Linked DNA regions of Notamacropus eugenii. Each later gene encodes a partner of the first gene's protein in a complex. Links are inferred from orthologs where the notes say so. Each region holds a gene or a part of one and is shown on either strand. Other genes may lie near its edges.

Region 1 (7,759 bases):
CGGTCCTCTATTTACCCACTATATGTGATTATGGGATTCACATCATAGGGTTCAGTTCTTAGCCCTCTTCTCTTTACTTTTTCCTTGGCAATCTCATCCGGCTATACTCTTGCTTCCAATATTGCCTCTGAGGAGGATGGACACACCTCTATCTCCAATCCTCACTTCTTCCTCAAACTCCAATTCTATACCTCCAACCTGCTGTGAGACAATTCTACTTGGTTTCTCCAGTCAACTCAAGTTCAATATTTCTTTTTTTCCTAATCTTTTAAAATAAAAATTAAGTTTTGATTGATCACAGCTGGTGGTACAATGGATAGAGGGCTGGGCCTGGAGTCAATAGTTCAAAGTCAGAATCAGACACTTACTAGCTGTGTGACCCTCAATAACCTCAACTGTAATATGAGGATAATAACAGCATCTACCTTAGGGTTATTGTGAAGATCAAATGAGATATTAAAAAAAAAAGCACTTAGAACAGTACCTACCACATAGTAGACACTACAGAAATGCTTATTCCATTTCCTTCCCTTTTTAATGTTACCATAATTTCCCCCAATATTCTTCCTCCCCCCCAGATAATAAATAACATTTTTTAAATAAAAGAAAAAAATTTAAGAATAAGAGGAAAAAAATCAGCACAATTGATCAATAAACTGAAAAGGTCTGAAAATATGTACAATGTACATTTGTGGATGGGGTGGGACTCATATCTTCTTTCACGCCAGGCTTGTTCTTCATAATTTCGCACCATTCACTTTTGATTCTGTTTACCTTGTAGTGATTGTGTGCATACGCTGTTTCCTTGGTTCTGCTTACTTCAGTCTTCGCTAGTTCATGTAGATCTTTCCATCCTTCTGTGTTCATCTTATACTTAATTTCTTATAGCATATGGACGCTTTAGTCACTTTATACGCATGGCTTGGTTGTACTAATTTGCAGCTCCAATATACTAGTGATATCTACCCACAACTGCTCTAACACTGACTTCCCACCTTTTGTCATCTTTGCCAATTTGCAGGGTATGAGGTTCCTCAGGGTTGTTTTGTTTAGTATTTCTCTTATTTAGTGACCTGGAGCATAGTTTCATATGGTTGTTAATAGTTTACAATTCTTTTGAAAATTGTTCATATTCTTTTTACCACTTATCTACTGGGGAATAGCCTTTGATATTTTATTTATCTGTTAATCATTTCTATATCTTGACAAACTCAACGTTTCTAAAACGAAACTCACCACCCTCCCCTGAAATATTATTCTATACGACCATCTTCTTACTTATCAATTTCTGTTAATGGTCACAGAAGAGTAGTTTTAGAGCAAGAGTGAGCAGGGACCTTAAAAACCATCTAGTTCAACTCCCTCATTTTACAGAGAACCGAGAGGTTAATAATCCAAACAGGTTAAGTGACTTGTCCATGGTTCCAAAGGTAATCAGTGGCAAAGTCAGGATTTCAAATTTTGATTTTTGTAGTGAATTCAACACTTTCTACTGCACCAAAGACCACCCTTCTGTGTCACTCAGGTTTGAAACATCATCTTTGACTCTTCTTTTTCTCTTGCTCCTACATCCAAACAATCATAAAGTTCTGTTGATACTTTGCATATATCTCTTAGATCTTATATCTAACCTCCCTTTACTTCCTAGACTTATGACCTTAAAATCTGCCATTCTGCTTCCAGTTTTCCTCTCTCCTCCTGCCGCCCAGGGCCATCCACTCTTCTTTTTCTTCAAGATTATGAATAACTTCAATATTGAGCTTAGCTGTCACTGTCTCCCCCACCCCTATACTGATCTTGCGATGGTTCCAAATGCTCCCAAGGTCTGTGAAAGGACTCCTCTTTAACTTGCCAAGTGAGGGTAGGTCTGCAGGCTTCGTTTAGTGGCCCCGCACTGTGATGAATGCTCCTATTCATGGGAACCTCCAGCCAGGTCATTCCCTACGACATTCCTGAAAAACACCACAAGCCCTCTCCCCACTGCTGGAAGTGCGGGGCCCTGTCGGCTAGTCAAAGAAGACAAGTCTGCACTGAGACGGCGATCCGCATAAATTAGACTACCTGCCCATGCGCCAGTCCACAGTGGGCAGGACGTTAGGAGGTGTTGGGAGGTGGTTTGAGGCGCTAGATCCTGCCTTGCCCCGGTCTCTTCACAACTTGTCTTACTTGGGTAGCTCACCAGGAGGAGCCACCCTGGTCTCCATAGCGAATGTCACAGGCTGCTTTATGGAGCACCTTACGAAGACTCACCCATTTTACCCCCTCAACAACCCTGGAAGATGAGGTGCTACTATTATGAAATCCAGTTTACAGATGAGCAAACTGAGGCCGACAAAGGTTGAGTGACGAGCCACCAACAGACAATTCATACGGCACTTTAAAGACCCAACAAGCGTTTACTGCATGGTTACTAGGCCGCGGTAGCACCGCTAGCTAAAAATTTCAGGAGTTTAGAACCCGGGTCCTCTAGACTCTATTAGCCTGGACTCCACAAGCCCGTTCATTGGCTGGCCCGCTCATTCGGTCCCGCCCCTTCGGCTCTCTGATTGACAGAAATACCTATATATCCCCGCCCTCTTTGCCCCATTATCTGTCGCTTCCGCTCATTGGCCCACAGCCCCAACCGTCAAGCCCTCCCTAGCAGCTGATTGGCTAGTTTCCAAGAGCATCCGTACTCACCTGGGAGCTCCCGCATCAGGTAGAAGGGCCCGCACCCAGCTGCGGCCTTGTCAGCACCAGGAGGAACTGAGGCCGCGGTGGGCGGCGGGACAGTTCCAGGGCCCCCACCCGGAGGAGGAGGCGGAGGAGGGGGCGGCTTCCCCGGCCCAAAACCCAGTGCGGCCGGTGGCGGCGGCGGCGGCTCAGTCTGGGCACCGAAAAGAGCTGTGAAGTTCTCCATCGCGTCGACCGCTCTGCCTCTGCCTCTGCCGGCGCCGCCGCCGCCGCTGCTGCCACTTCTGCTGCCGCTTCTGCCTCCGCCCACTCGGAGTCTAGCACCGCCGCGGCCTCTCATTGGGCCACCCTCTAGTGCAGCACCGCCCTCCTCTTCCTAGCGCCTCTATTTATTGGATGCGTCTGGCTCCACTGGCCGAAGAACTTCCGTCGCTCTAAGATGACGTAAAGGAAATGTAGCTCAGTGACCAGAAAACGCCTATCTCTCCGCCCACCCTGTTCTCAGCATCCAATCAAAGAGGGAAGCCCTGAGAGGCCAGCCTTTCAGAAAGGCCGTTCTTTCAGCTACATCCAATCATAATTCAGCTTCAGGCTGAGGTTCCGGAGAGACAGAGGGGCGGCCCAATTGGAAAGCCCGGATGGCAGGAGGTCGAGGAACCGGTTCGGCGTCCGGCAGGTACTTTGGCTGAGCTGCTGCGGCGGTGGTGGCGCTTGCTGCTTTAGGGGGAGGAAGATGGCGGTGTTGGCTCCGCTGCTGGCGCTGCTGTACTCGGTGCCGCGGCTCTCGCGATGGCTGGCTAAGCCGTACTACCTACTGTCGGCGCTCCTGTCGGTGGCTTTCCTGCTCGTGAGGAAGCTGCCGCCGGTCTGCCTCGGTCTCCCCACGCAGCGCGAGGACGGCAACCCCTGCGACTTTGACTGGGTGAGCGGAGGAGGTGGCCCCAGGGTCACCGAAGGGCAGGGTGGGAATGACCCTCCGGAGCCCCGGGGGGGCAGGAGCCTTGAGCCAGGCCCGACCGAATCGGGAGGTGCGGGAAAAATTGCCCCACAGAGCCCAGGCCCACCCGGTGCCACCGCCGTGACCTTGGGCAGCGCCTTCCATCGCGTTAGGACTGAGGGAGAATTGGCCCGGATGCCTCGGCCCAGATCCAGGATCCCGCGGCCTCTGCTGTAAAGCCAGTCTGGAAGTGAAGGGGGCGGCGAGAAGCCGGGTTACAGAGTCGGGCAGGAAACAAGCCCTTGCCGCCTCCCAGGGCGGCAGCCTTCCTTTCCGTGTCCCTTTAGAGCCTGCACGGAGCAGCACCGCCGCCCTTGGAGCCCAGGGAGGGGAGGGCGCTTGCTGGAGCAGAAGACCAGCTTCTCCATTGGCTCACCGTGAAGTTTTAAAGGACAAAAATCAATTTTCTCTCCCTCCTGCCACTTCTCATTAAAAAAATCTTCCGAGTAAAATTAATTCCCGTATTAGCTTTGTCAAAAAAACCATCTCTTCCTTCACGTTTAGTGCGTCATCTTTCAGGAGGTGAGTAGCTTGCTCTCTCCAGTCCCCAGGATGATGTGTTGGTCATTTAACTGTTGTCATTCATCGTTCTGGTCTGTAAAAGTTATTTGATCTTTTCATCGACCGTTCAGTCTTTTGACTCCAAATCCATTGGTCTTTTCACTAACCCATGCTGCCTTTCCAAGCTTAGTCACAGCGGACCCCATACCTGAATTTACAGCTGGGGAAACTGAAGCATATAGAGGGGAAGCAACTTGACAAATGTCAGAAAGTTAATAAGTAGTGGAGATGGCACACACACCTGGATTTTTGGACTTCTTAAGTCCAGGGTTCTTTCTAGTATATCATGTTTCATTAAGTGTCTGTTGTATATGTAGCACTTCATCCCATCCTAAAGGAGATTAATAAGGTCTTCAAGTAAGAGTATCTTTGATATGATGATAATAAATTAGAATACCTCCCTCCCTCCCATTTCTGTAGTAATTACAAAGCTCTTTCCTCACAACCTTCACATGAGACTACCAAGGTGAAAAAGATGATTATTGCACTCCTCAGAACTCAAGTTTCACAGAGGAAATATATGACATTCCTCCTCTCCATCTCTTGTTTTTGCTCCCATGGCCATCATCCTTGTTCTAGCCTCTTTATCATCCTGTTGAAATATTGTCATAACTTCCTAGAAAGTTTTTCTGCATCTATTTTCCTTCCTCCAGTATGTCCTTTATGCCATTGTATAATAGGTTTGCCCAGAGATTGAGTTATGTTATGCCAGGTGAAAATATCTTCCCTTTTGCCTTTCTTTAAATTAAATTTTGTTTTTCAGTCAATATCTCAACTCCAGTTCCCTGCCCCAAATCCTACCTCCATGAGAAAGAACGAAAAAAAAAAACAACCGCTGTTATAAACATATAATCAAGCAAAAGAAATTCCCACATTGACCATGACCAAATAAATTGGTCTCATTCTTCATTCCTCTTTCAGGATGTGGTAGCAGTTTATCAGGAGATCTCTGGAATTGTGTTTGCTCACTGCTTTGATCAGAATTCCTAAGTCTTTCGCAGCTCTTTACCTTTCCAGTGTTGCTGTTATTACATAATTGTTCTGGTTCTGCTCACTTCTTTCTGCATCAGTTCATACAAGTCTTCTTAGGTTTCTCTGAAACTGTTATCATCATCATTCTTACCACACACTAGCATTCTGTCACATTCATGTAGCATCATTTGTTCAGCCATTCCCCAACTGACAGGCGCTTCTTCAGTTGTCAGTTCTTTGCTATGGCAAAGAGAACTGCTTATAAATATTTTTGTACATACGGGTCCTCTTCTTCTTACCTTCCATTGAGACATAGTAGTGGTATTGCTAGGTCAAAGTGTATATATGAACAGTTTAATCGCTTTGTGGACATAAGTTCCAAATGGCTTTCCAGAATGACTGGACCGGTCCATAGCTCCCGCAAGAGTGCATTTTGCCTTTTTTTTTCCCACAGGCCTACAATATTTGTTATTTTCCATTTTTGGTTAATTTTGCCAATCTGATAAATGTGAGGTAGAACCTCTGAGTTGTTGTAATTTGCATTTCCGTAATGATTAGTGGTTTGGAGCATTTTTTCATGCAGCTATTAATAGCATGGATTCCTTCATCTGAGAGGCCTATTCAGATCCTTTGATCATTTGTTGTTTGAGGAATGGCTTTTACTCAAATAGTTCTCTCTGTAACTTAGAAATTAGACCTTTTGCCTATAAAAAGCCTATTGCGTTTTCAAGTTCCAAATTCATGGTATTACCCTGCTGTTTCTCCACCCCTCCTGTTATATTTGCTATGACTTCCCATCCAGGTACACTTTGCTTCAACCAAACTGTAGAGCTTTGTCTCTTACTCCCTACCCTCCCTGCAGCATGTGTTACTCTGTTCTCATTACTGGGGTGTTCTCCCTCTCCCCCTCTGCTCTTTGAATTCCTACTTGTTTAAAATCCAACTTTGATGCTACCTCCCCCAGGAAGCCTTCCTAGAAGTCTGTCTTCCTGTCCCTTATCCTCCCCACCCCCATAATTCAGGCGGTATTCTGTTTTGTACTTGGGCACATAATATCTGTGTGAACTCGGACAAGTCATTTCACCATTCCTGGATTTAGCTTCCTCACCTGAGCAAAGTTTCCTTTCCTTCACCAGATTTTCCTTCCCATGCCCCACAAAGTACTTTGAGGTGGTTAGCTAAACTTTATGAGCTCCTCCACCCCTCCAGGATCCACCACAATGCTTTGCTCACAAGCAAACATCTATTAGATGTTTGTTTCTGTTGTTCTAAGCCATATTTCCACCTTTGAAGCTGAGGCTTTCAACAGACCAGTGTGGAGAGGTGAAATGTCTTCCCTTTTTATAAAATGTCTAACAGGTGAGGCTGTCCCTACCCACAGTCAAATTCTGAATTTGTGAACAATTTTACACTGTCTTCCCTGTCCCCCTTCTTTCTTCCCTGTCTCTTCTTTCCTGCTGTCCTGCTGTGTCTGACCTCAGACTTGTTCTCCTACTTTGAACACTTGTAGTTCACCATTAAACCATGAGTTCCTCCAGGGCAGACTGTCTTTTGCCTTTCTTTGTATCCGGCACATGGTAGGCACATAATAAATGACTGAGCAGATGGACACCTTCTCTAGCTTCTGCTTCAAGCATGAGACTCACCAGTGTTCGCTCCCTCTGCCTTTCATTGATGACAGAGAATTGGGACAGAAAATTCAGATTTCAGATGTGTGCTGAAGTCCATGTTGATTTTGGCTCATTTGCTTACCTCTTTGGGGTTGAAGCAGGTTGAATGACTGCTCTGCTGTTGACAGTGATATTCCTAAAAGAGACAAGAAACTTGTCCTGGAAAATTCTTATTCCTAAGCCTAGAGTAATTTGGTTACCCGTAATGAAATATGATTGTATTTGAGTATGAAAGTATCTTTTTCCAAATTCTTCCTGAATGGACTGTTGGCAGTTTAGTGATCACAGATGTTCACCTCATTCAGAGAGCTGCTTCCAAGTTGGTGGCTTTTTGCTAGGTTTAAGTCCTCCATACAGAAGTAGTTATGTTTGGTGAGTAGATGGATGGCATTGATACAGGTTTCATAGGCATGGATAGTTTCACAGTTTTCCTGTGCTTTGAGACATAGTCTGTAAATATAATGATCCCTCACCATCCCACACCCCTAGCAAGTAGCCCAAGGGGATTTATAGCATGAAATTGTGTAACCTAGATATTATCATCAGAGGAAAAGGTACTACTTTTCTTTTCAAACTTTAGAGGATCATTATATATCACTCTATATGCAGGAGAAAAATATTTTGATTTAAATATATATGAATTTAATGAAATGTCACGATATTTCATTGTATCAGTTTTCCTACAACTTTGTGATTATTTCATAATTCTCCATGGGTCCCATGCTGAGTCAGTGCCTCAATTTTGGTTTGGATCTCTTGGCTTGCTGCCACCTTGGTTTTTCATATGCGCTCACTGTGGTTCTCTTACAGAGGGAGGTGGAGATCTTAATGTTCCTCAGTGCCATTGTAATGATGAAGAACCGGAGATCAAGTGAGTATGGCCCAT
Region 2 (7,251 bases), on another chromosome or scaffold:
ATGAATCTTCCTATCTCCGGTCCAGGCACTCTATCTGCTGTACCACCTAGATGCCCAAAACAGAACTACCACCTCTTTTTATAGATGCTATACTTGTATTTATTAACTGTGAGACCTAAGGGAAATCACTTATTCTCTGTGGTGAAATAGTTGGACTAGATGACCTCTAATATCCCCTTTAGCTCTAAACAGATTATTCTATAAATTAGGTCTTAGATCATTTTAGAGTTTTTGGTTGCCCTGTCACTATTGATCCATACTTGAGTTTTTAACAGCCTCTGAGGTCTGGATCTATTGCTATGATCCTATGATTCTTCTCTTTTATTGTTAACAATATTAATATTTTCCTTCAAAATATCTCATATCTGTCCCTTATTTTCCATTCCCACTACTCAATCTTCTGTTCACCTGTGCACTACTGCAATAGATTCCTGATGTCTCTAGTCTCATATTTCTTTAATCTATTCAGTATACCAATAGAATTTATTTTTTTTAAAAACACCACTTTCATCAAGCCACCACTGCTTCAAATCTTTCAGTTTCCTATCACCCTCAACATAAAATTCAAAGCTCTCAATAATCTCTCCCCTACCCAATATTTCCATCACTCCCCAAAATATATCTTCTGATTCATTTAGACTTCATGAATCCTTTCTAAATCTCTTGAACAAGCAAATCTCTACTTTCTTGAACCCACAGGATTTGAGTAGCATTCATGTTGGCTTTTAATTAATATGCTGTTTTTGTACTGTTACTTTTTAAAATGTGTACATGTTTTGTCCCAATTAAACGCTAAATTTTTCAAGGGAAAGAACTGTATCTTGCAGAACTTAGTGGGGTTGTGCATGCAGTATACACTCATTATCTGCCAAATGAATGAACTTCCACTTCCACCTCAATTTCCCTAAGTTCCCTTCTGAAGACAATGGCTAAGATTACTCAATACTCTATTTTTCATACGTAAAATTATCTTAAAATAGGGTCAACTTTGCAATGCCATGTCAAAGTTAATCCTGGCTGAACAATCACACTTCGATGATCAGGAACTGAAGGTTCTTCACCCTGCTGCCACACTGTTCAGCAAGCCCAATTAAGTGGCAGTCAGGTGGCTAGTGGACAAGGGCACCAGACTTGGACTTGGACTTAGGAAGCCAGGCACCGTGCTAAGATCATTTTTACAAATATTATCTCATTTCACTCTGTGAGATAAGTGTCATTATTATTCCCACTTTACAGCTGAAGAAAGGAGGCCACAGAGCAAACTGAGTGTTCCGGATTCCAGGCCCACCGTCACTAGCTGCCTCTAACAATAACTCCCTCAATAGTTTCTGTGAAAATCTACTATGAAAACACACACAAAGCTTCTTCGCATATAAGAGTTATTTAACTGTGGATCCCCAGTACATTTGGGCCAACAGAGATAAGACAACCTGTAAAGTACACTGGCAGCCCTAAATAAAACTGCTTCTTATAGTCAAAAAGACCCGCGTTCAAATTCGCTTTCAGACACTTGGAAGTTGTACGTGCCAAGGCAGGTCACTTAACCTGTCTGCCTCAGTTTCCTTGAATGGGGATCATACTAGCACTTATCTCCCAGGGCTATTGAGGGGATTAAATGAACATCTCTTAATATTATTAGATATGGGCCAGGTCCATAGAAGGTGCTTAATGAATGCTTACTGATCACCGATTAACACATAGCAGGAAGCTTGGCACATAGAAGGAACTTAATATTTATCGTTAATATCTGGAAGGCGCTTAGCACAGTGCCTGGCACATGAGGTGCTTAGCATTTATTGATCAACGTTTACCGTAAAGTGTTTAGCACATATTTGTATCTGGTTGGTTACTGATTCACACCCGTAACCGTTCTGCACAGCGTCTTGTTCCTCTATTCGGGGGGCAGCCGCAGCCCCGTCTGGGAGCCGGGGGTAGAAAACAAAGCCCTCCTCGCGAGCAGCCCGAGCCCGGAAGGAGCGGGCACCGCCGTCGCACGGCCCGCCCAGGGCCTGCAGCGCTCGCTTCCCTCCTCCGCACCGCGGGGAGGCGCCCAGGACTCTCCTCCGGCCCGTCTCCCTTCCCCCAGAAAGGTAAGGAGGGCGGCTCCGGGGCAGACCAGCCGCGCAGGGGGAGGGGGAAGAACCGACGAGAGCCGAAGGCGATGACGTCTCCGGTGGGTCACTAGCCCCGGTCAACGCCGCGGCCCCTCCCCCTGTCCCTGGGTCAGTCCCGAGCTCGGCTCCCGGCCGGGTCACTGCCACCTCTCTCACCTCGTCATCTCAGCCCCAGCCGCTGCGGGAGGAGAAAGAAAACGCCCAAACCCCGGCGCCCCGTTACCCGCCCAGGAAGAGATGAGGCAGCGACGCCAACTCCATTTCCTCACCGAGTTGACGGCGTCCTGAAGCTGAGTGAGACGATCCGCCATGTTGCCAGCGCTGACGCCAACGCCGCAGCCCTTCCTATAGCCCGCTCCCGCCTGATTGGACGGCGCGGAGCGCCAATCACTGGACTGCTCTTCGGGAAGGGGGCGGAGCCACCGTCTGGCCGGGCGCTGGGAGTGGAACTCGTTTGTTGTGTTTAGTCGTTTCCGTTACGTCCTGCTCCTCGTGGCTCCATTTGGGAGGCCGTCGGCCAAGCCGCTGGACTGGTTTCCTTCCACAGCTCGTTTTACGGTTGAGGAAGCGGAAGCCGACTGGGTGAAGTGACTTGCCCGGGGCTCCCCGGCTAGTTTGTGAGGTCCGACAGGGAGAAACATGTGGTGAAATCGGGAAAGCCTCTCCTAGTCTTTACTGTCCGTCCCCCTAAGTGGACAGGCAGCCTCCCCAGGGAGGTTACCGGAAGACTGCGACACGTGCAGGAAGGCGGGGCTGCTTAGGCTGCGTCTCCCGCCACGCCGCCCCCTGGCCACGTGACTCCGTGTTCTCCTCTCTGACCGGCCCTTCCTCCCCAGCTCCTTGGGCCTGCGCAGTCGTTCCTGACCTCTAACCTGTCCAGGCTGGGTCACCAGCCTTATCCCCCAGGACCGTGGACAACGGAACTGTCTTACTTCCCACAGCTGCCAAAGGGATTTCCCTAAATCATGCCGCCTTCCTACGTAATACATACCAGCTGTTCCCTGTTGCTTCTAGCATCGAGTACAAACTCTGGAATTTCAAGCTCTTCCCAACATGGCCCTGTCTTCCCTTTCCAGCCTTCTTACTACTGCCCTCCACACACACTGCAGTCCAACTCTGCTGGCTTTGATCCTCCAGTCCTTCTTGCTGTTCTTCCCCTTCATTCCCATCTCCCATCTCTATGCCTTTGCACTGGCTGTACCCCCCATGCCTGGAATGTTCTCCCTCTTCAGCTCCAACTCTTGGAAACCCTGGTTCCCTTCAAAATGCAACTGGAGCACCACTTTCTTACATAAAGTCTTCCCTAGTTGCCCTAGGGGCCAGTGTCTTCTCCAGGGTTACTCTGTATCTGTTTTTATATACCCATGTGCCCAGTTAGAATGTAAACTCCTTGAGGGTCCATGTTATTGTCTTTGTGTCCTTAATTCTAGTACTTAGCTGGTTGGTTGTTGTCCTTCATTCTTGAAGAGGACCACAGGGACATCACCATGATAAAGTGAAGTTTCAGTGTGCACGACTGTGGCTGATGAGATCAATACAAACTTGGAATGCTCTAGCACAGATTGGGCACAGATAGTCTGGGTGAACATTTGGGGTGGTGACTCCAAATTTGCACATCCTACGGTTCCTCTGTGCTGTCTCAATTCTGCTTCGCTAATAGAGCACAGCACCCTTTCTGATGTGGGCACACCATGCTGAGTGGTCCTGTGCCAGTGTCTCCCATGTTGCACAATCAAATCCAAAGTTCTTGAGAGAGATCTTGTGGAAAAAAGCACTGACTCCAGAAAGTCAGAGAAACCTAGAATCTAACCCCAGTCCTGTTATTTACTCTTTGATCTTGCATAACATACTTGAGTTCTCTCAGTGTACACTCCTTTTAAAATTAGGAATAATAATATCTTCTCTACCTAACTGATATGATTGTAATGAGGATGAGGTGATATTGTATTGGAAAGAACTTTGTAAACCATAAAGCCTTAAGTGAGAAGTTGCTAACAGTTCTTGTCTGTTTCATGGACCCCTTTGGCAGTCTGGTGAAACCTAGGGATTCTTCTCAAGATAAAATTCGTAAATACATAAAATATATAGGATTACAAAGGAAACCAATTATATGGAAATTCAGTAATCCAACATAAAAAAATAACAAGTTCATGGATCTCAGGTTAAGGATCCCTACCCTGCACAAGCATGATTACAGCCTTATGACTTAACTTTCCTATTATGGTTACCTAGAGCTTTCTAGCTCCCTCAGTGGCCCTTACTGCTTTCCCTATTGTATTCCTTATTGCTACCCTGTTTTATCCAGGGAGATTATGAAATGTAGGAAGAGAAAGAGAAGGAAATTGTTTGCATTTCAACATGCATCTATTTCATGCTTCCATCAGTTACTTCTGGTTTCAGGCTGTTCCCATGGGCACTCCCAAAAAACAGCTGGAAGGCAAGACGTGTATTACCTAATGGACACACTGGATATTTTGCAATCAAGAAAGTTGGCCACAGGTGAGAACTGAAACCATGGTAGTAGAATAAATCCTGAAAAGGATACACAAAGAGCCAAGACCTCATCTTCACCCAAGAATTCATTCCCAGGTTTGAAACCTTAACACATTCAGCCCAGTCAGATCCTGCTTCGAGCAACATGAATCTTACAAAGCTACCACTTAGCAGTAATACTAACTCACAATTTATATTAGCTTTAAGGTTTGCAAAACACTACATTAGGTCTCCACCACACCTCTGCATTATTCCCATTTTACATGGATCAAAAGAGTTAAATGATTTTCCCCGGGCTTACACAGTTAAGTATCTTCCTGACTCCAAGTAGTGTATGATCCAGCACACCAGATTGAGGTATTTACTACCTGTGTGACCTTGGAGAAGATCTGGGCCTCAGTTACCTAATGTGGAAAATGAGGTAGTTGAATTAGAGAACTTCTGAAGTCCCTTGGGACTCTAAAGCTTTCAAGGAGATTGTTTAATTTTTCTCAGGCCCACAATTGGTGTCCAGTAATGAGGGAAGGTACTTGGTTCTCCTGTCTTGACTGTGCCAGAAATAGCTTCCAGTAATCTGAGTTAACTCTATCCAAATTCTACTCTCAAAAGCTTGAGGGATTAGACTGTGAATTCACTCTTTCTTTACCCAGTGTCTGTAACAGACTCCTGCATCAAGGTGAAAGGGGTGGGATTATGTTGCTGAGTCCTGAGCAAACTTTGGTGAGTCTGGAGGTCTATGGAGGCTTTAGAAGCAGCTTGGGTTGGTGATTCATTTGAGTTGATGGTTGGAAGAACCCAAACCTCAGAACATTAATTTCCCTCTGCATTGTGCAGACAGACCTGGAAGAGTCTCTTCCTCTGGAGAGAGGTAGAGAAAAAGAAAAAAAGACCATTGATGCCACAGGGAGCTAGGAGTTGCCACTGCTGCAGGAGAGAATGACGATAGAGAACACCTGCTGGGAACTGGGGAGAACAGCTGGGAATGCCGGGAGGCTCATGGCTTCACCTCTCCCAGGAGGTGTGTTAAGCTTCCTCACCACTAGAATCTCCTGCCTGAACACACTGCCCTGATTTGCAAGCTCAGCCTATTCTTTTCTGTTCTTCAGGCCTCCCTTTAACACTGAACACCCAGGTGGGGGCCACCATTAATGCCAACGCTCCTACTATTTTCTGTTCTCCTTTTCTCCATCATTGATCCTGGGAGGAGGTCCTAGTTAATTGTGCCCTGCTTCCCTGGACTATCGCAGAAAAGTAACAAGGCTTCCAAATTGGTAACTATTGGATGTCCAGACAGCAGGGCACCATACCCTGCCATCTTGGGACTCAAAGAAACTGCACTTTACTGTGTGTTCAGTCAGGTCCCTGAGGTCCCTGTATCCAGAAATTATTCTAAAGTCTGAACTTCTCTAAACTACACATTAACTCCACTCTCCAACGCTGCTGGACCCTTGAGCATGAGAGATCCATTCATTTGATACTTCATCTTATGTTTAACAAACTCCAATCTTTTCTGTCTTATGGTTAACAAACTCCAATCTTTTCTTCCCCAATTGCCCAAGATTCAAAATTAATGTCCACCAAGGGGAAAATCCTCTTTTCTAACTACTCCCCAGTCCCTCTTCCCTATCCACCTTTGCCCTGTTCTTCCCAAATCCTTCTGCTGTTCTGGCCTCCCTTCCCATTGAGTTCTCTGTAACTCCCACATTGTTCTTAATAAATTTCTCTTCATCTTTCACCACTTTCTCACACACTTGTCACCTTCTTGGACTCTCAACAACTTGTCTCTCTAAAAGGCACTGCGTCTCTGCCTACCTTCTCCAGTCCTAAATATGCTCTCTCTCATATTCCCTGACACACAGGGCAAGGAGAGGACGAGGTGGTCTATTCCCTGCTCTTCCCTCTGCTTCAATCATTCAACAATCTCTCTGTCTCTCTCCATTCATTCTGTCTGTATATATTGCTCTGTCCAAATCCTTGTAGTCATTTATCTGATTTCAGGTAAGCCTGCCTCTTGAAGAAGGTTGCCACCTAGCTCAAAGTTTTCTCTCCGCTCAAATCCCTGCCATTGAACTTGGAGACTTCATTATGCATATTGATGCCCCATCAAATATACTGGCATTGTAATTCATCAGCCTCCTACCTTCATTCCATCTCAACCACATGTAGAAATGATCATACCTTGGATCTTACTATTATTCTTAACTATGCTAGCTATATCATCTTAAACACATAAAGTCTTCCCTCTCATCATAAACTCTTAGTCTTCCATCTCTCCCTCTGTCTCCCTTCTAAACCAATTCTTCATCCTTACTATGACATCGAGGCACTCCTCTCCTCCTTGTTCTCTCAGTACATTACCTCTGCTCTGGCCTCACTTTTCACCCTTAAATCTTAATTTTATGGTTAACAAATTCAAATATACCATGCCTGCTACTTTAGAATCCTTTGACCTTTTTTTGGTTGCAGTTTTCATCTTTTCAAAGTCCTAACCTGGGTTGCCTGCATCATCTTACATCTCCCATGCTCCTTTACAGGTGGTTACAAATGGTAGAGGAAGTCGGATACCTGTCTGTTGATTACTCCCATAGTAGCTTTTTCCAACCTTCTCCTCTCTCCTAAAGCCCTCAAAGCTACCTTTGTCCGG

Evidence for each region. Proteins that work in one complex are often made in the same cells at the same time.
Region 2: MED19 (region 1) and MED21 share a complex: the UniProt entries of both Homo sapiens proteins name them as parts of the mediator complex. The link is inferred for Notamacropus eugenii from reciprocal best matches to the Homo sapiens genes MED19 and MED21.

Annotation. Positions count from the first base shown.
Region 1 is NC_092873.1:3,310,302-3,318,060, forward strand, and holds the start of MED19 (mediator of RNA polymerase II transcription subunit 19), read right to left. Parts: upstream 3,094-7,759; 5' UTR 3,014-3,093; coding exon 2,680-3,013; intron 1-2,679. Other genes in the region: TMX2 (thioredoxin-related transmembrane protein 2), read left to right, coding at 3,407-3,595, 7,684-7,744. UniProt on the Homo sapiens protein: Component of the Mediator complex, a coactivator involved in the regulated transcription of nearly all RNA polymerase II-dependent genes.
Region 2 is NC_092874.1:178,501,432-178,508,682, forward strand, and holds the start of MED21 (mediator of RNA polymerase II transcription subunit 21), read right to left. Parts: upstream 3,003-7,251; 5' UTR 2,426-3,002; coding exon 2,384-2,425; intron 1-2,383. UniProt on the Homo sapiens protein: Component of the Mediator complex, a coactivator involved in the regulated transcription of nearly all RNA polymerase II-dependent genes.